Linked DNA regions of Astyanax mexicanus. The protein of the gene in region 2 binds, or shares a complex with, the protein of the main gene of each other region. Links are inferred from orthologs where the notes say so. Each region holds a gene or a part of one and is shown on either strand. Other genes may lie near its edges.

The links. Proteins that work in one complex are often made in the same cells at the same time.
Region 1: cnot9 (region 2) and cnot2 share a complex: the UniProt entries of both Homo sapiens proteins name them as parts of the CCR4-NOT complex. The link is inferred for Astyanax mexicanus from reciprocal best matches to the Homo sapiens genes CNOT9 and CNOT2.
Region 3: cnot9 (region 2) and cnot7 share a complex: the UniProt entries of both Homo sapiens proteins name them as parts of the CCR4-NOT complex. The link is inferred for Astyanax mexicanus from reciprocal best matches to the Homo sapiens genes CNOT9 and CNOT7.

Annotation. Positions count from the first base shown.
Region 1 is NC_064409.1:54,388,631-54,395,550, forward strand, and holds the start of cnot2 (CCR4-NOT transcription complex subunit 2), read right to left. Parts: upstream 3,025-6,920; 5' UTR 3,010-3,024; coding exon 2,992-3,009; intron 1,157-2,991; coding exon 1,037-1,156; intron 935-1,036; coding exon 862-934; intron 756-861; coding exon 608-755; intron 481-607; coding exon 295-480; intron 1-294. UniProt on the Homo sapiens protein: Component of the CCR4-NOT complex which is one of the major cellular mRNA deadenylases and is linked to various cellular processes including bulk mRNA degradation, miRNA-mediated repression, translational repression during translational initiation and general transcription regulation.
Region 2 is NC_064430.1:21,133,271-21,140,595, forward strand, and holds the start of cnot9 (CCR4-NOT transcription complex subunit 9), read left to right. Parts: upstream 1-4,233; 5' UTR 4,234-4,399; coding exon 4,400-4,417; intron 4,418-6,572; coding exon 6,573-6,752; intron 6,753-6,904; coding exon 6,905-7,020; intron 7,021-7,118; coding exon 7,119-7,228; intron 7,229-7,325. Other genes in the region: ftcd (formimidoyltransferase-cyclodeaminase), read right to left, coding at 663-791, 1,725-1,908, 1,987-2,040. UniProt on the Homo sapiens protein: Component of the CCR4-NOT complex which is one of the major cellular mRNA deadenylases and is linked to various cellular processes including bulk mRNA degradation, miRNA-mediated repression, translational repression during translational initiation and general transcription regulation.
Region 3 is NC_064417.1:45,486,804-45,493,936, forward strand, and holds the start of cnot7 (CCR4-NOT transcription complex subunit 7), read left to right. Parts: upstream 1-4,109; 5' UTR 4,110-4,186; intron 4,187-4,217; exon of another isoform or gene 4,218-4,441; intron 4,442-4,754; exon of another isoform or gene 4,755-5,016; intron 5,017-5,043; exon of another isoform or gene 5,044-6,199; 5' UTR 6,200-6,293; coding exon 6,294-6,410; intron 6,411-6,499; coding exon 6,500-6,693; intron 6,694-7,133. Other genes in the region: mtmr7a (myotubularin-related protein 7a), read left to right, coding at 851-1,213. UniProt on the Homo sapiens protein: Has 3'-5' poly(A) exoribonuclease activity for synthetic poly(A) RNA substrate. Its function seems to be partially redundant with that of CNOT8.

The DNA.
Region 1 (6,920 bases), on a different chromosome or scaffold from region 2:
AGGTTGTGGTGGCTTAGCAGTTAGAGAGCTAACGATAACAAGGTTGTGGTTTCAGCAAGCTAACACTGTTGGGCCTTTGAGAAAGGCCCTTAGTCCTCACTGCTCTCCAGTTGCCACAGGAATGGCAGCCCACTGGTCCAGGCACATATGCTCACTGAGTGTGTCAAGTTTTTTTTAATACACAGCAATACTTAAATCATTAACAGCCTCCTTAATAAATGCATTAAGTTATCATAGGTGCCAATACATGCCAGCCTGGACTTTGAGTTATGCCGTTAGGAACAGACATTGTACCTGTTGATGGTGAAAGGTTGCTGTCGTGCTGGTTGCTGCTTTGGCATGCAGATGATGCTGGGAGAGCTGCGGTTGGGGCTGCCAAGGCCCGAACTGCCCATACTGTTGGTCCTGCCACTCATGCTCATGCCCTGACCCACCTGCGAGTGATTCATAATGTTCCTGGTATTCATGGGAAGAATTCCCCTGCAAATCAAAAGAGAATGTAAATCAGGTATATGGGGCATCCCCACACTGTTCACAGAGAACAAACAAGAAACATAACAGGAAACGTTGGATAAAACTTTGAAAGCAGGCAAAGTCATAGGCCTACCTGTTCGGCGAAGGTGGGGTATGGAGGGACATCGTTGGGACGCCCGTTGTTGGGGTGTTATGGCTCGGTAACTGAGTACCTTGTGTTAAACTCCGGTTTAACTGAGGGTTGTTGTTGTTCATGCCCCTTATTGAGAAGCCTAGTGCACCTACAAGAATCACACCAGAAAAATCATATATAAAACATTTTTATATTTAATGAGTGGTCTTAAAAACTGCAACACAATACAAGCAAATTTAGAGAAATGTACTCACTTTGTGGACCATACAAACTTGCACCAAGCTGCGACAATTGACCTGACGACGATGGTGAGGGAGATGCCAGCATCTGCAAGATTTACAAACTCTTTCATTTTCCTACATTTGTGCTGCACAAATTGTATTTTTTTTTGTAACTTGTCAACTGAAGGCATGTAACTTTTGCTCTTACATCTTTCTCTGTTCGATGAGGAAACATCGAAGGCTGACCATAGTACATGCTCTCATCTGGGTAGTCGCTTTCGACCCCCTCAAACTTCTTTCTTGTAGCACTGAACATTCCGTTCGTCACCTGAGAAAAAACAATAGTTTTAGAAGGTTAAAAGGAAAGCCAGAATAACTGGATTTGATCAGAGATGTTCTAGAGACCACTTTAAGTAGAAAACAAGAAACTTGCTTTTTACATTTACTAAACCTTTACTGGACTAAGTTGTAAAACTCATACTAACATAAGATGTATTTTATGATTTAACTCAGTTATTTAAAAAAATACAGGATCTTTAAACAAAAATATATTTTTTTTGTTTAAAGATTAGTCTGGGAGTAAACTTGTAAAGCTCTGTGAAACCCAGAGCTTCTTAATACTTCCTGCTCAGGACCAAGTTTAACTCAGATCAGTAAAACAGGCCCCAAAGCTACACAATATTGTCAATAAAAGCATTCAGAGCTTTTCTGCCAGTGTTAAGATTATTATGGCTGTTGTGAAAGAGATCTGAGCGCATGAGTTCCATGTGACCACACAAGAAAAAAGTAAAAAGGTCCAAATAAATCACACAAAACAAGCTTCAGAGCGAACAGGCACTAAAGAATAAACAAAGTCAAAAGCAATGAGAATAATTACACTGCTCATCACTTCCATTGTTTACATTAACACTTGCTACTCTTGTTAATAGCTACCTTGACAGTTTGGCACTGACAGATAACTTATGTATAGCTAGCTAATATTAAGCTGCAAACGTGTGTGATACATTATAAAGTGGTTAACTAGCTAGACGATCCGCGTGTTAACGATATAACCTAAAAAGGATCAAGCTAAAAGCACAGAGACCTGCTGCTTTAAACACAGTAACGAGCTAACCGCTAGCTAAGCTACCCAGTATACATCCAGAACACATCTAACTCTGGACTACGGCTTATAATCGTGTTAGCCAGCTAAGCTAGCTAACGCTAACTAGCTGGGCAAACTCTTTCGGTACAGACAGAAGCTCGTATTTTTTTCTTTTACGGTGTTGTATCGTTAGATATTGCTTTCAAGTTTGCAAAAATGAATTAGCTAACTACATTAGTTTGTTAAAAAACAAAAAACAAATCCACAATATTTTACTCCGGATTCTTAAATAACGCTAGCTAAGTTAGTTATCTAGCCGGGCTAACGAATTAACGTTAGTTATATAGGGTTAGCTAACCTTGCTAGTTAAAATAGCGGTATGAACAGACTGCTCGTTAGCTTAGTTGGCTTAGCTAACTAACGTCAGAAAATTAAATGGGAAGCTATTGATGGATATGAATCCAACCAACACGATAGCTTCTTAAGCTAGCTAGTTAGCTAACTAGCTAACCTGCCTAGTTGGTTAAAATAGCGTTACGAACAAGCTAACTAGCGTCAGAGAATTACATTGGGAGCTATTGATGGTTATGGATTCAACCAACCCGATAGCTTATTAGCTAGTTAGCTAACTAGCTAAACCTAGCTAGCTTACAAATCCAACAGCAGGTAGATAGCTAAGCTAGTTAGCTACCGAGCTAAAGTTGCTCAGTCTACATAATAAAAAAAAAACATCTGAACAGCGGCTGACGATACTGACAAAACACGGCTTCGTCCACAACACAGCAGGCTAAACCAGACTCCAGATTAGACCGTGGATCGCGTTTCAAGTCGCGGCACAACAGTTTCTTTTAATTATTTACCGGATGGAGCACTAGCCTTTAGCTCGTAACACAGCTACAGATAAAGCTAGAGCTAGCTTAACAAAGTCTATCCGGCTGTGTTCGGTGGAGGCGGTGTAGTTTAGCTAGGCCACTGCGCCTCCTGCTCCGCTCCAACCCGCATCTCTATCTAAGCCCTTTAGCTTCAGGTATCAGGCTGGTGCTAACGCAGCTAGCTCGGACAAAAACACAGAGACGTACGAGTCCGTGTAAAGCCATCTCTCCGCGAGTTCGAGCTCAACCTACATGCGAGGTTGAAAACCCTCCGACGCTACAGCTCTGTTTTCGTGTTGTGTTCGAGGCGGGCCGCGCGGAGTGGTGTTTTTTGTTAATAAATGAAGAAATCCACTAACCGCATTAATTTCCCCTCTCCTCGTAGACCCAAGATGGCTGTGTATCCTGCAGCCGAGAATCCTGGGTGAACAGCCTTTACCCCCTGACCCTGCTCTGGCCTCTACAGCAGCCCTCACTGCTTTACATTAATATTATTATTATTATTATTATTATTATGGGCCTTAAATTATCACTTATTTTACTATATTCAGGTTCTTCAGTAATTATAATCACGACATTACTGTTCACATTTTAGCTTCTGTATAAACGTTATAATGCACTAAATGAGCTATTCCATATCTCTAGTTAACCTGACTTCCTGGGCCAGCATCAGTATTCCCCCCACAAGATACCCTGTTTGACTGATTTATACTAGTCTTTCATAGCAAGAATATTGGACATAGTGGCCTAAACTAACAAAACATAAGTTACAGTTGTTACTATATAACATTTTCAGTATTAGTTCCTCTAACTAAATTATTTTTAGCTGAGGCCTGTTCATGTTGTTTCTTTGTTTTAAATCATTTTACACATAGATATATATTGTATTTATGTTTTATTTATTTTTGTCCATACTTATTTAATAAAAATTAAATGAAAGTAGCCAAAGACAATTATATGTAAATGTATGTAAACTTGTTATAGCTTTTAGGCCATTTATCTCTGCGATAAGAGTTTGCTTGTAAAAGGTACAATTAAACATAAATAGAAGTTATAAAAGAAGAGTTATTTATGTTTATTTGTACCTTTTACAAATAAAATAGTAACAAATCATTTGTCCTTTTGAAGGAAATAAAGTAAATAGAAGCCATATCTTGTCATTTTTAAGAAAGTGCAAAAAAACAAAAGAAATGTTTAATAAGCACATTTATGATATTATGTTATGTTATGTAATTATGTTATGTTATTTATGTATTTATTTATGTTTATTTATATTTGTATATTATATTTATATATATTTATATTTATATATTTATATGTGTATTTATATGTGTATTTACTGAACAAATAAAACCTTTTTAAGATTCATCTGTACATGTGCCTTAAATGTTATGTATGTAAACTGATTGACAAAAATGAACACCCTGGATTGCTGGAAAACTTGGCATTTAATTATGTCTCAGACAGATTTGTAAATCATGTTTATGCCTAGAACTGGGAAGCTGGAATTTCCTAGTTTTCCTAGTTTCCGGAAATCTTAACTTGAACGCTCCTACAGGTCAGATTTCCTACTCAAAAAAGTTGGGGGAGCCTCGCCAACCTTGAGTTTAGAATCCAACGTTCACAATAGCCGAATATCCCGGGTAAATGGAACTCAGTGTTAGTCTTGCCACAAGAGGGTATAACTGTGACAGTCAGTCACACCTAGTAGTAAGACAATGCTCACTCACACACAGCAAGTTTTTCCCAGAAATGTCTTCGCCAGTTGCAACACTTGGCCTGTTTGATCAACAGATTTTCAACAATTATGTGTTTCTTGCACTTACTTCATCAGTGGATGAGTGGGCAGAATCTACAGGCCCAGATGCAACATCTGTGATCAAATATGCATAAGCATGCCCTCTGCTCCAATTTAATATAAATATCACATCAAACCGACCATAAGTGATTATAGTAGTCATACCACACTTCAGCTTAAGGGTATTTGCATACATTTACACAGTCACCATCATTTAAGATAACCATATCATGTTTGGCGCATAGCCATAACAAGTATGATACAGTCATTTTAAGTATAATGTTTTATATCCACTGCATGCAATCACTATCTGTAGTCTGTAATTCACAGACTATTATACTTATGCTTATACTTATATTACAGACTATAACTTATGCGGAGAATCTTCTCTGTTAAGTCTCTAAGACAGTGGTTTTGCAAACTTTAAATTGGCCACCTTTGTAATTTTGTTCATGAAACCTTCTACAAATAGTATCTGACAAATACACAACCAACTCCTCAAGGTTGTTTTTGACCTGTCAGATAGACAATTAAAGATTTTTCTGAAGATTAGTAAAGATTTTATCAGTGGAGTTCTTCCTTGGCCTACTAGTCCCTTTAAGAATAAAAACTGAGCAGTGCACTGTTTCTTCTTAATGATAGTCCATACATTTGATTTTATAATCCCAAAAATATGTCCCAAACAATATAGACGTCACTGTATGTGGAAAAAAAGTTTATTATATTTATTTCAATATTTATATTAACATTTATTATGTGACATTGATAATGGTAGAATTTGGCAGTTGACTTTCATCGATAATGTATGAGTTTTTTTTTTTTCTTCTCCAAACTCTAGACTTTTTTAATTCAGGTTTCCATTATGTAAGTTCTGTAAATATGAACTCAGTCATAGCCATTTATCAACAACAATGGTGTAAAGACTAGTACACACTTTCTTCATTGTACAATTCTGCTGGCAGAGCATCAACATCATAAGCTCTTGACAGAAGCTCTCCGCTCTGCCAAATAACCACACAGACGCCCAACTGGCTGGCAGCTACAGAGTGATGACAGCAAGTTGAATACTGATGTCTTTCTTTCAGTAGAGTGACATCTCTGGTTTTACTGCAGGTGACATCAGACCATCTCTGTATTGTCTATAGTATACTATATACTCAGGGTTTTAATTTCACTGAATAGGCTGTATGTACAATGTATTACAGTTTCGACTGTTAATAGTGCAGTGTGTAATATTTGTATGTATGACAGTGAGTACATTAATGCATATCACTGTATGTTTTGTGCCTCTTCTGCTGCAATGATGTGTGGGTTCACACACTCAAGACTTTCATTTTCATTTTCAATTTTATGTGATAATCTTAAGTAAACACTGACATGTTTAAATTCTGCCTAGTTCCTACATGTGTGTCTAATCCACTGACAATACAAGTCTACTATTACAGAGCCAGGAAAGGGTATTTCCTGATTCCTTGTTTTGTTTTGCGTGTTATGCATGCTTAATTATTGGAAACTTTAAACTAAATTCAATTTAAGACTAAGGCATAAAATATTTTTAAATGGGAACAGCTAAAAATGTTTACAGGTTAATCAATCAGACAATTCATGCATTTAAGCCACCTCTGTTGAATTTAAACATAATTTACAGTAATAAATATAAATCACAGTAATTTGAATTACGTATATGGAGATAAAATGTCTCAACAAACAACACATGATACAGGGATCAACAGAAATACTGGAAGTTTTTTTATTATTATTATATTGTTCGAAAAGGTTTTACTAAGAAAACTTGAAAAACAGTTGTGAATCATCTCAAAAGTGGCTGAACACACACAAGATCACCAAGAGCATATAAGGAACTGTATCTCTAATTATGCAAAACATTGGGGTGGTAGTTTGATCTGTATCCTTGGTGAATTGCCATAATTAACAGAACAAAACAATTCTGTTAGTCTACCAGAAAATCCTGCAATAGTGGCCTAGTTAAAGTCTTGATTTAAACCATATTGCTGTGACAGGAAATACATGCATGTACTCAAAGTACTTCAACATGGCTGTATTATTGTAGAAGAGTAATAGTGACCTTTTTGTCTCGAACAACTGAAATTATTATTTAAAATCTGCTTTTTCTCATGTTCTTTTTGGCCTACTGAGTTTATTAGCAATATCTGGATGGATATCTGCCGCCGTTCTCCTTCAGTTGTCACCGACGTGTGTTTCAGAACTTTCGAATCGGACAGTTCTTCGCGCCTGACACTCTGGCAGAAACTCCACCCTCTTTGACTAGGTCTGCCTACACACTAAGAAAAGTAAGTACAGATTTGTACCTAAAAGA
Region 2 (7,325 bases):
AGCTCTGGAAAAACATAACACCGCTTAAAAATGATGAGTTTCTTTGATTTTACCAAATTAAAAACCTCTGGAATATAATCAAGAGGAAGATGGATGATCACAAGCCATCAAACCAAACTGAACTGCTTGAATTTTTGCACCAGGAGTGGCATAAAGTTATCCAAAAGCAGTGTGAAACACTGGTGGAGGAGAACATGCCAAGATGCATGAAAACTGTGATTAAAAACCAGGGTTATTCCAGCAAATATTGATTTCTGAACTCTTGTTTATTGCATTATTTGAGGTCTGAAAGCTCTGCATCTTTTTTATTATTTCAGCTATTTGTAATTTTCTGCATTTTCTTGTTCAAGGTTTATAGAATAAAACAAATGTTAATTTTACTCAAATATTTACCTATAAATAGCAAAATTAGATAAACTGATTCATGAAATGAAGTGGTCTTTTTTACAGAGCTGTATATAAATGAGCTTTCGTCTGATTGGTTCTGTATTTTGTTCTTGATTTAAAAAGCAGTGCTAGATTAAAATCTTAAACGTTTCAAAATAAATGGGAGGGTGTGGACTGCTCTATCAAATGTTCCGATTTTTGAGACATCAGAAAATAAATGAGTTAAAAAAAATAAATACTGTTTTGATAAGGTCCCTTTAAAAGGTTTATCTCACCTGGCACATGAAGCAAGTCCCCCAGCCTCCGGCCAAACTCATTAGCACACTCCACACACTCCTCCATGCTGGCGTTCTGTACCGGGATAAAAGGACACACGTCCATGGCCCCTGTCCGAGGATGCTCACCTGCACATTCAAACATGGACAGATTTCTAAAAGGTTACATATCATAACAGACATGATTCATTTTTACACAATATGTTTTTTATCTCACTTTAACCCTTGCCATTGCACAGGCTTACTTGTTTTATTATTGTTATAATAACTCCATATCTTAATGAAGATCAAATGTTCAGATTATTAAATGTTTTTAAAGACATAGGTTTTATTGGGTGTCCCAATTTGGCTCTGCTCTGATTGGTTACTATGCACTGCATTGTGCCTTGTTTTGAAACCACTCCAAAAGGGCCAAAGCTCACTTAAAATAAAAAATTTGATGCATTTAATCACAGAATGGTTTTTATTTTGCCTCAGTCTATTTTGAATTAGCTTTGGTCATAAGATGGCAGCAGTACTGGCATTCATTGCATGATACAGCTTTAACATGCATTTTTAGACTGTCTGCCTTGTCCCTTGGGTACAGGGATTTATCCAAATACTCTGAAACTTTTGGTTATATTTTGATATTATGGTGAAGATGATCTGATATCTGTCCATCTTTACTTAACCAAAAGAGACTATATAAAATGCCTTTTTTATACCCAGCCCTGTAAGTTACAGTAGTTGCAAATTGCTCCTAATGCAGATGTTTTTTATTAGTACCATTAGCACCACTTTCTGCTTTTTGATGTGCTGCCCAAACTTTTTTGAGATGTGTTTCTGAAATCAAACTCTAAATGAGTTCATGTATTTCATTAAATCGTAAGTGTCATACTTTCAGTGTCTTAAAATGTGTTCTGTGTTCTATTGTGAATAAAATATGGTTAAAATAGATTTGAAAATAATTACATTCTGTTTTTATTTACAATTGTTTTTATATTTTACACAATGTCCCAGCTTTAGTGAAAGCACTATTATTTGCATGGTGATTTCTAATAAAGATGTGAGTGTTAACTGTACCTGTGTGTTTGCTCATGTCAATGATGGTGAAGGCGGTTCGAGCAGCGTTCAGGGCTCCCTCCACCACAGCCTGTGGGGGGCCCACGAATGTGTAGACCGTCCTGTTGGTGGACGAGCCGGGGTCCACGTCCAGCAGACTGCAGCCCTCAGTGGCCGAGATGGCATCAGCTATGGCATTGATTACCTGGTAAAGAGAATTAATAAAGTTAGTATGGGTTCTCCTGGTCTGTGACAGTCAATAATGGTCAGAATCTGCTTTTACCTCCTTATTTCGTCCCTCTGAGAAGTTCGGCACACACTCGATTAGCTTAGCCATGGCTGTGAGAGGTAAGACACACAGACTGAAGCGGCTCCACCACTGGGTCCTCGACGGATCTATAGAGAGTTAAGTTAGTGCTCCTCTAGAATGATTAACCCGCCCCACTGGGCCTTATCTGGGTCAGCAGCCAATGATTGGCCTGTCACTTCAGATAACACACAAGTCTGTCATATTCACTCAGTCACAGACATTCACTATATTGCCAAAAGTATTCGCCATCCTAATCCAAATCATTAATCTCAGGTCAAGCCTTGCATCACCAAAACTCAATTGCCACCATAAAATAAACACCAACATTGGGCTTTCACATATTGGCCTCTTTATTAAAAACATCCTCCTTCTGTTTCATTTTACTAATAATACGCTTTCAGAATCTATTTCTTAGCTATCTTTGCCTCATTGTATTTTCCAGTAAATTGTCTCCTATGACCTTTCAGCACTTAGCATTAGCTAGCCTTGTAGCTTATGTGCAAAATGTAAAAAAATTCTAATTTTAGACACCAAACATGTCTTGTCTGCTTGGCTACAATGGGGTAAACAATGTTACATGCCAGTTGTACACATGAACCACTCACTGTGTACAAAACTGTTAACGGACCTTCTGGACCTACTGGTCAAACACATCAAGAGATGAAGCCAAGTTTAATATTTGGCCCAAGAGTTTCATAACATCCCAAAAGCAAACAGAAGGTGGCTAGGTTGCAGTAAATAATTGATTCATCAGAGAACCAAAACCTGGTAGGGGGTGTAGCAAACAGAAAACAGCTACAAAACATCTGATCAAATGGGTCCATTTTTGGATACATGTCTGATTAAGGCAATAATATTGAAAATGAAAGCTAGCATCTCCATACCAATTTCATCAACAATGCACTTGTAATATTATAGTAATAATAGATGGTCAGATATCAAAAGTCTACATTTTCCTAGTTTTTCACAGATTGGTGAACCGCTGTCTATCTTTACTTCTTTTACTGCCTATCTAAAATTCACTTTTTATACCCAGCTCTGTGAGTTAGTTGCAAATTGCTCCTATTTTAGCTGTTTTTATTAGTACCTCTAACTTTTTCTGGCTTTTGATGCCCTGTCCCAACTTTTTGAAGTTTCTTTGCTGCCATCACACACTAAATAAGTTAGTATTTTTCTTGAAATGGTAAATTGTCTTACTTTCAACATCTGAAATGTGTGCTTTGTTTTACTGTGAATTAAATGTGGTTCTGTTAGATTTGCACATTTTTTGCATTCTGTATTTTTTACACAACGTTGTGTAATATTCAAACTTAGACCATCCGATACCAGCTACCAGCAAAAGCTGGTGTCGAGCTGGTATTTTAAAGGAGAACTCTGATGTGAAATGGGGTGTTGGGGTGTTGTGAAACATTGTTTGTGAGTACAAAACTTTGGTCAAATAGTCCACGTCCGAAATGCAGCAACAGGCGTACGATGGAAGCAATAGCAGTATTCATGCAAATAAATCTCTATTTTTACACCATTAACAAGCTCAAAGCAGATTGGTAGAATTCTATGAGCCCTGACAGTGTTAAAATTGAGATTTCTTTACACGGACAACTCTATGCCCCTATCACTAGCATTGTAAGCCTGTTGACATAATTTGTACTTATCATGTTTCACTTGGGTTACAACCCAAGTCCATTCTCCACAGGATTACACAGGATTCTCCTTTAAGCAGAAAAAAAATAAGAGGAAAATTATGAGGAAAAATGATTATCCAAAAGCAGTGTGTAAGACTGGTGGAGGAGAACATGCTAAGATGCATGAAAACTGTAATTAAAAACCAGGGTTATTCCACCAAATATTGATTTCTGAACTCGTAAAACTTTATGAATATAAACTTGTTTTCTTTGCATTATTTGTGGTCTGAAAATTTTGCAACATTTTTGTTATTTTATCCGTTTCTCATTTTCTGCATCTAAATGACAAAATTTTTATTTGGAATTTTGGAGAAATATTGTCCGTAGTTTATAGAATAAAACAACAATGTTAATTTTACTGAAACATATTCCTATAAATAGCAAATATACAATCTAGAATATGAATTGGTTTCCACTCATCATAAATCATCATACATTAATCTCAGTTTGCCTTTACATATCAGTAGAAATGTAAGTATCCACTGATATCCTATAGTATCTGGATCGGTATCTCGGTATCTCCACAGGGCTCCCTCTGCTGGATCTGGAGCTTCCTCAGACTGGATGTCTGAGTCTGCAGGCGTGAGTGTGGACGGTGGAGCAGACTGTGAATGTCTGATGTGAATTCTGAGGGATTTCTGTGTATTTTGGGCTGAAGAAGGATCTCCACGGCTGCCGAAAGACTGAACACAGCCCTTCCGAATATGCTGGCCACAGGAGCGGTAAGTTAAATGCGCGGTTCTGCTCTGATTTTAACTTTAATATTAACCTCCATTCATCAGCTAACCTAAAACTCACTGCGCGGCCTGCTAGCCGGAGCGGCTAATTGCGCTAAAGAGCTTCACAACTTCACTCTTATGTAGCTATATATTACAGAGATTCAGCCCCGTATCTAATTTATCTGCAGCCTTGAGCCTTTGTGAGATTTAAATTAATTAATTGAAATAATAAAAACTGGACGCCTTTTAAATTGGTCATTACGGTCGAATGCTAATGCTAACGAAGTAGCGTTGCCTGTTAGCCTGAGCTAGCTCGCTAGCTAGAACGGGTGTTGGACGTATTAACACTAGTTAGCTAAGCTATGCTAGCTATCTAGTTAGATGCAAATTATAGCGAATATTAGCTAATGTTTTTATTACAGATATTCACAAATCTCCGATGTTTATATCGTAATATTTCGTCCTGTAGCTGGCATTAGCTTCCTTAAAGTTTGAATGGCACGGTTGCTATCTAATGTTAGCTTAGCTATCTTAGCTAGTACGCTGGTTAAGTTAGCTGCTAACGCTAACTAGAAAGTTGTTTAGCTAGCAAATTTACAGTTCTTAGTTTAGCTAATAAACTCAAATTGAGTAAAACTGGTAAAGTAAAAAAAGTTAAAATGAAGAAGTAAGTTAAACTCAACTGGAATTAAGCTACGAAATAAGTGCTTATATAACAGTTAGCTATCTAAAATAATCCTTGGTTGATAGCAGTAGCTGAAGTTTGGCTAACGGTCGTGTCTGTGAGTTTGGGAAGAGTTGAGGCTGACAGTTTAAAGTTATTAATTATTAGTCTTATGATTTATAATTCGGTATATAAGCAGTAAATAGATCTGATAAAGTAGTCTTATTAAAACATTAGCAATAGCTTACACAAAGAAGTACAACTGAGTACTAATGTATTACTCCATTACAGTAAACATGCTAAAGGGTTTTACTTGTTCAATTGTGCCAGTTACCTGCGTAAGTAGAGCTGGGAGGTTAAGTAAATTAATTTGATTAAACTAAATACTGTTTTAATGCAATTTTTAAATGGGGTAATTGAGACTGTAAATTTAAATGTAACTGTTTACATGTAGGAGGTGCCAGAGGATATCTCAGTAGAACGATATTTGCTTCTTTTAGAAACTAGGGTTACTGTAAAACAGTGTCTCTCAAACTGTATTACGGCCATCCTAAGGTTGTAAAGCACTACAATCTATGAAGTTTCCAATATAGTTTTCCTAACATTACATTAGTTAGTTTTGATTGCTTTCCCAGTTAGAACCTGTGTGTGAGCTACATCTCAGTCATACACTCTCAGAGCAACAGTTTTAATAATAATATCACTTTCATTAGCCCTAGAGTACAACCCTGAGGAACACCACAAGATATGCTCTATCAAATATTCCGTCTGAGATGTTTCTGTAGGGTTACTGTAGTAACCAGAACCAATTATCTTAACAACTTACATATAAAGTCACACTCTTGACATATGTCATTATCCCTAAGGGGTAGAATCAAATGAGTTGATCAACTGAGGGTGTAGGTGATTTTACTACAGGTGGTCAGGCAGCATTGAGGTGATCATTTAAGCAATGGAAGGTGATTATATGCAATTCCAAATTGTTAGTCTAGCGAATAATTGCTGTTATTATTATTATTCTAATTATTACCATTAACCATGGTAATTATTAATTAATTTATTCTCATCATTCTTACCACTGATGATTATATCAGTACACCTGAGCACAACAACAGGCAGATGTGATGGTACAGTGACTTTATATGTGTAATTTTATAATTGGTAAATTTTGCCTTCTGCTTCCCCTGTGGAGGTTTTATATTTGTGTTTGATATTTTGTCCTGCTGCTGATGTGTGTAAAGCTGCTTTGTTGCAACATTAGTTGTAAACAGTGCTGTTTCAGTTTCACTTGCTACCTGGATATTATGAGATATTGTGAGGGATTTCTACTCACTGTATAAAATTGTATGGGATTTTTGTCTACTAGGTTTGGGTAATACTATTATGATGATGCTAAATAATGGAGCAATTCCAGTACTAATAATTTAAAAAAATCTTAAGAATTGATGGTCATAAGGAAACGCCTGATTAACATTTGTGCGTTTTTTATCCAAGGCTGTAAGCACGGCGCTGGCGCAGGTGGACCGTGAGAAGATCTATCAGTGGATCAATGAGCTCTCGAGCCCTGAGACGCGGGAGAATGCACTTCTTGAGCTCAGCAAGAAACGGGAATCGGTGACTGATCTGGCTCCAATGCTCTGGCACTCCTGTGGGACCATTGCTGCACTCCTTCAGGTAAAAACTAGAAACTTCATAAGTACAGCATAACCAAAAATTACACATTCCTACTATTATCTTTTTGATAACATAATATAAAGCAGTATTGTAACAGAGTCTCCCAACACAGTGTCTGATGAATGTTTTTTCATGTGTTTTTATTTTAACAGGAGATAGTGAACATCTACCCCTCCATTAACCCTCCCACGCTTACAGCCCATCAGTCCAACAGAGTGTGCAATGCCTTAGCACTTCTGCAATGTGTGGCCTCGCATGTGGAGACACGGTAAATGCTGCAAACCCACTCTGATTTACAATTAATACAGTTTGGAGACTAAATTGTCTGCATGTTCCTTAATTTAAACTTTTCTTTTATCCCTCCAGCTCTGCGTTCCTGGCAGCGCACATCCCTCTGTTTCTGTACCCTTTCCTACACACCGTTAGTAAAACGAGACCCTTTGAATACCTTCGCCTCACCAGCCTTGGAGTCATTGGTAGGTTAATTTTGCTTTACAACTGAGAACATCCACAGATACTGGGGTTGTGATTTAAGCAGAATCTTATAGTAGAGATGGCAGGATCAAAAAGGTG
Region 3 (7,133 bases), on a different chromosome or scaffold from region 2:
TTTCTAAATCAGTTTCTCTGATTTTGCTATTTATTTATTTTATTTAGGAATATGTTTGAGTAAATGAACATTGTTTTTTTTATTCTATAAACTTCTGACAACATTTCTCTCAAATTCCAAAATAAAAATATTGTCGTTTAGAGCATTTATTTGCCGAAAATATGAAATGGCTGAAATAACAAAAAAAAGCAGAGCTTTCAGACCTTTATATTTATATTCATTACGTTTTATTAAGAGTTCAGAAATCAGTATTTGGTGGAATAACCCTGGTTTTTAATCATAGTTATTATGCATCTTGGCATGTTCTCCTCCACCAGTCTTACACACTGCTTTTGGATAACTTTATGCCTTTACTCCTGGTGTAAAAATTCAAGCAGTTCAGTTTGGTTTGATGGCTTGTGATCATCCATCTTCCTCTTGATTATATTCCAGAGGTTTTAAGTTTTTACAGAGCTGTATTTAGTTATGGTAGTATATTCTTTACAATAATAATTGGACAACAGCAGTGAGGGTTTCAGTGCAGAGGTAACAGACCCCACACATATTTGGACTGCTGTCTCTGTTGCCATTATAATAAAAGGCTTGTGTCGCAACCACTCAGTATTTCTAAGGACATGACCAAACATATATTTTGTTATGGTAATATATTCTTAAAAATACTTATACATTTTTCAGAATTTTGCCATACCATATCATACCAAGAAAATTGTTCTCACAAAAATACACTAAAATATTGTAATATCATGTTATGGCCTTATCGTCCACCCCTAAAGGGAATTCAGTATTTTTTCTTAGGTTGCAGTGATTTGAAGCTTTTTGTTAAACGACTGAATTGTGTGTCTTGTTGCAGAAACTCGCTGCCCTGGGTAAAGAGCAGGTGAACGGTGTGTGTGTGAATAAGCATACAGTTAATCAGAGCCAGGCTCTCTGGGCTCAGCCAGCACACATAAGCCTGGCCAACACGCCTCAGGATTACAACGAAGGAATTTTAGGGAGCAGTCCTAAAGATTGGTCCCTCCAGCAGAAGGAGACTGAGAGCACGGGGCTCGGCCTGTTTGGAGTCACTCCAAAAACCTCAGACCCCGACAACAGCGATCAGGAGTCCGGAGTGGCCGACTTCAGCGGTCACTCCTCCAGCGGCGGGGATTCATTTCCGAGTGAAGACAGTGTAAAGGACGCTGATTTAGATGAAGCTGCTTTTAATACTGTCTAAAAACGTGATCTATAATAAATGAAAGCCATAGCATTCCCATTGGGGCCTGTGCAATCATGCTACATACTACATGCTCCATTTCAAATGCATAAACATGCATAATCAAATGTATTTATTGTTGCCGGTGTAACAAAGGGAAGTGTTGATTTATTTATTACAATATTTATGACATTATTTCATTTTGTATGTGCATGAAATGATTTGCAGTTGTAAACCCGCATGTCACAGCGTAGCAACATGCATTTTAGTGATGTGTGACACAGATGTGTGATATGTGTGGCAGTGTAAACAGAAAAAACACACTGAATCTGATATTATTATTTCCAAGATCAGAATTCATGCAATTTTTACATAAAGGAAAAGGAAAAAAGAGCTGTGAGGACAAAGGAAAATGGACAACAGCATTGAGTAAGGGGTTTCAGTTGTGAGGACAAGACCTCACAAAAGTTTGGACTGATGTCTCTGTTCCCATAATACTAAACACGTGTCACAACCTCCCAGTCTTTCAAAGGACATTCCCAATGAGCCAAAGAGTTTCAATGGTTCTTTAAGTGAACATTCCCTAGTTAGAAAGAACAGCACAAGTACAATTATGTCAGTCTGCAACTGTGCTGTGTTGGTGAATCTGTGCTCACTGCAGCCTCAGCTTTCTGTTCTTGGCTGACAAAAGTGGAAATATTTTTCGTTTTACAGAATGGTTATCTGGGTTATTCTTAATAACTCAATAACTGGCAAAGTAATATCGAATGGGTGCATTAATTGACAAAGTGGCGAACAACAAATTGAGTTAAAATTTTCCGTATGCAAATTAATTTCAACAAGATAAAGCGATATTCACAATAGCCTGACAATTTTTTTCATAAGCCCTATCCAGACGGGATTCGTTTTTCAGGGGGTCCTGGGGTAATTTTCTCTTTTGATTTTTTTCTCTGTGATTTTTTCCCCCCGGAATGACTGTATGTGGTTTTCTCAGACGTCCTCTGATACAATTACAGTCAGAATTACCTGTTTTTGCTGAACTCCGGTAATTTTAGTCCCGTCCGGATGCACATCTCTGAGTTTCGTCACCTCTCATTTAATAAACTAGTTGAGTATAAGTGTGAAATATTTTTTCACAGATGTCCCCTGAGAAGCGAATCCCGTCCAGATAGGTCTATACATGCTCTTCTATCTGAACATTTGGTTCTGACCAGCATTTCATTCTTATTTTTTTACAATGTTTTTCTGAACAGGAAAGAAAATCATAGTTGTTTCTCATTTCCCCTTGTTATGATGCAAATCTGCACATTTACAGGGACAGTCTGAAGAAAAATAAAATAAAGCGAGAGAGAAATTAGCAGATACTGTTGGTTTCTCTGGTTGGTTGGTCAGTTGATACGTAGCTTGCTAGATTAGCCAGCATGTTAACAAACTATACTAACACCTGTTAACACCCACACACAACAACACAAGCTGCCTCAAACACACCCAAAAGAGACCAACTTGGGGCAGCGTGAGCGACTTGTTCTTTGCCAGTGTGAATACAGGATTATGGTAGCCAGGGTTATGGTAGCCTTTCTGTCGTCTTGAACCATCTTGAACCAGCATTCTCTGTTGACCTCTCTCATCAGTTTTTTTTTTTTTTTTCTCACAGCTCATAATCTATGATCATAGGCCAAAGATGCTTCACTTCACACCATAACAACCTACAGTCTGAACACACACTATAAAAGTATTACTGAGAACAAAAGAATAATAAATAATAAAGACAATATATGAGCAGCATATTATAAAGCACACTAGATGGTCATTGTGGAAACTGCTGGAACTTATCTTCACACTGGTTTATTCAGATGATGTTGGGCATTAATTCTCTCATATACAGTAATTGAAAATATGCATGAAAAAATGCAGTGTAAGCATTATATACATTTCCCTGTGGATGCTGAGAGGTAACTCTCTGTTCTCACACTTACATTACTAGTGCAATTGTACCTAAACAATAAATAAAAATAAATAAAGTTTACATGTGACCTCACCCTCTTTGGTTAGGCATTTGTTTATTTCTATTATATATATATTGGGAAACTGCAAACATATACACTACCAGTCAAAAGTTTTAGAACACCCCCATATTTTCCCTGTATTTTTGCCATTTAAACTGGCAGGGCCTTTAAGAAAAACAAATTAACAAATATACATATAAATATATATATATTGCAAAAGCATATTTTTAAAAAAAAATTTACCAGACAATTGATTGGTTAACAGCTCACAGCTCTTATTAACTGAGCTTTGAAAATGTCAATTTAGAAATCCTTTGTCTGTAGTAAAGTCATTATTTTGAGATACTATGTCATTATGTTTAAATACTACGTTGTAATTATGAGCTGCTACCTTTTTATTTTGAGAAACTAAGTCATTACTTTGAGATACTAGCATATTTTCATATAAACACGTAGTATCTCTTAATTGTGACTTAATATTTTAAAATAAAAACATAGAATGTTAAAATAAAGACTTAATATCTGAAAATAATGACTTAATAATTCAAAATAATGACTTAGGATCAAACATTATAAACATGATGTCACCTTAGGGGCTCCGTACCTTTTTCGCAGCCCCTGATGTATGGAAGCCCATTCCCGCCACCTAAACAAATGGGCTTCCACACTGATGTGATGTGACATTATGTAAAAAATATATATATATTAAAAAAAATAAAATAAAATGTGTGGCCCTAAGAGGTGGCCATGGCTTCTTACAGAGTGGGAACAGAATAATTAAGTCCTGGCAATATCCTCTCCAGGCACTCCCTTAATTAACTAGGGTTGTAGCCACGCAATAGGATCTCGTTCTAACGCTTTAATAAGACGTGGCCACGCATTATTATTATATATATATTTTTCCATCCTAAAGCTGCTGCACCGTTTTATACCCCTGTTTGAAGCCGCGCCGCTGCTGGACTGACTCCAGACTCCGTGACGCTCCAAGGTCAGTGGCGCTCGTATCCCGGTGTCGTCACGCGGTGCGCGGCGGCGGCGGCGGCGGGTTGTAATGGAGCCCGAGGGGCGGCAGCTGGCTGCTGATGTCGGGGTTAGATTAATAAACTGTGTGGCGGGTTTGGTGGAGCTGAGACCCCAGTGTTGGTGAGAGTGTGAGCGGGACAGCCGCGTGCTGCTGAAGCAGCCAGTGCATATGAGTGTACTATAATAGAGGAGAGAGAGAAAGAGAGAGGGAGAGAGGGAGGTAAGTAAGTGACTGAGAGAGAGAGAGAGAGAGAGAGAGAGAGAGAGAGAGAGAGAGAGAGAGAGAGAGAGAGAGAGAGAGAGAGAGAGAGAGAGGGGGAGAGCTGGAGAAGACCTGCAGCACAAAGTTAAGGGGCTACAGCTAGTTAGCTAGCTGCTGTGTGGGGCTAACAGCTCCTATTAGGATTCGCTAGCATGCAGGAGGGAGCCTCGTTAGCTTAGTTTAGCTTAGCAAGCCGGTGTCTAACGTGACAGATATAATATACCAACACCAGGCTGTCCTGCTGCACAGCTTTCTGACTGGCAGGCAGGTGTCAGGTTCTGTCGGCTGTTTGTTTGTGGGTGTAGTTTGGTGTGGCAGCTAGCCTAGCCTAGCCTGTGGCTGTTAGCTTAGCTAGGTTAGCTGCCTTTAGGTAACAGTTAGTCACCTGGTTTGTTTGGGGGCGGTAGCTTATCTTTGTGTTAACTAGCTGTTTAAATATGTGTTTGTTAGCTCACTAGCTTTTTGGTAGCTTTGTTCTGTGGTCATAATAATCTGGTTTAGGTTGATATGAGGTAGATAAATTAAGCTACAAGGTAAGTTAGCTAACTAGTTAGTTAACTAGCTAGATAACTATTTAACTGGTTAGTTTTTCGTTTGTTAAATGACTAACTAGTTAGTTAATCTAACTATTTGACTATTAACCTAACTCATTTTTAGTAGCTAGGCTTTTATTATTAGCTAGCTGTTTAAACCTATATAAGTTAGCTGTTTAAGTAACTTATGTGTATGTTAGATGGCTAGATTAGATAGCCTTGTTTTGTGTTAGTTAGCAAACAAAAGTAACTGCTTTCTGGTTAGACAACACAGACCATAATGATCTGATTTTAGGTTGGTCCGAGGTAGATAGATTCAGCTGCAAGGTTAACTTAAATTGTCAGCTAGTTAATTAACTAGTTGGTTACTAAACTACCTAGCAGGTAAGCCATACCATACTTGGCTAACCAACCTAGTAAACTTAATTCTTATTTAAGTTGCAGTAAAGTAGGGCTAGGCGATTTGATAAACACATTACTTTAGTTATGTCACTGTATTTACAAATAAGCCCTTTTTTCAATACACAATATTTATCTTGATATAATCACATAATCCCAGTAAAAATTTGGGATGCACCAATATGGGAACTTTGGGTAACTAAGCTTTGTGTTTAGATCCAATTATTAGCTAGCTGTTTAAATGAGGTACTAGATTCATTAGCCAGGTACTAGGTTCAGATGAGGTCATGGTATGGCTTACGTGCTAGCTAGTTAGGTTAATTTACTAGCTAGTTATTTAGCAAAGAAAAATAACTGCTTTCTTGCTATGGTATGAAGTAGATAAATTCAGCTGCAAGTTAGTTACCTAACTAACAGACTTACTAACTACATAACTAGCTAATTAACTAGTTAGTTAACCTAAATGACTAGGTAGTTAGTTGACTATACAGTTAACTAACTAACTCGTTAACTAGTTTATAACCCTAAATGACTAGCTAGTTAATTGACTACATGGTTAGCTAACTAACTTACCAACTAGTTAGTTAACCTAAGGGCACTAAAGGGCACCCAGGTCATTTGTTGTGTCGCATTCTGTGCTATAAATGTGAATGGACAGATAGAGTATTCCGCTCACTATTTCTTTTGACTGAAGGTTGTATCTAGCATATTGTAAGTTAGCATTCAGTGTCACACTTTTGCTCATTTTCTAAAAGTCTAATATATGTCCTCCTTTTTTGCACAGGTGTAAATAAAGAATTAGACCCAAAATTCTACGAAATTGTCCCCAAGGGAGCATTTGTTTCATTTTTTGATGCCTTCCATTTGAAAGTGGCACTATGCCCGCAGCCACTGTGGATCATAGCCAAAGAATATGTGAGGTGTGGGCTAGTAACCTGGATGAGGAGCTGAAGAGGATTCGGCAGGTCATCCGAAAATACAGTTACATTGCAATGGTGAGCCTTGTTTTGTTTCGCCATATACCATTTACTTAAAATCTGCAGTGTTTCAGTTAATCTGATTTGTTAATTTTCTGTGTTTGTAGGACACAGAGTTTCCAGGTGTAGTTGCGAGGCCGATTGGAGAGTTTAGAAGCAATGCAGACTATCAGTACCAGTTACTGCGGTGTAACGTTGATTTGTTAAAGATTATCCAGCTTGGCCTTACCTTTATGAATGAACAAGGGGAGTATCCCCCAGGAACTTCAACATGGCAGTTTAACTTCAAATTTAACCTCACGTAAGTGCAGTATTTCTTGTGTGAATATACTACACTTTAATTCAATGTCTTGTCATATTGCCAAGAGTATTGGTATTGTGAAAATACCCTACCAATATCATGATAATATTGAGGTAAAGATGTGAACAGAAAAAGTGTAAAACAAACTGAAATATGGTTTATACTTTAGATTCTTCAAAGTAACACTTTTTGCTTTGATGCATGCTTTCCCCACTCTTGGCATTATTCTCTCAGTCAGCTTCATGAGGTAGAGCCTTGAATGGTTCTCCAACTGTCTTAAAGGAGTTGCTAGAGGTGCTGAGCTCTTGATAACTGCTTTTTACTTCCCTCTGTGCTCCAACTCGTCCCAAACCACTTGGGTAGTATATCTGGTTCTTATATCAGGTGTTTGAGAAGGATGAACACTTTTGTTTTGTCTAGTAATAGTTATTAATCATAAA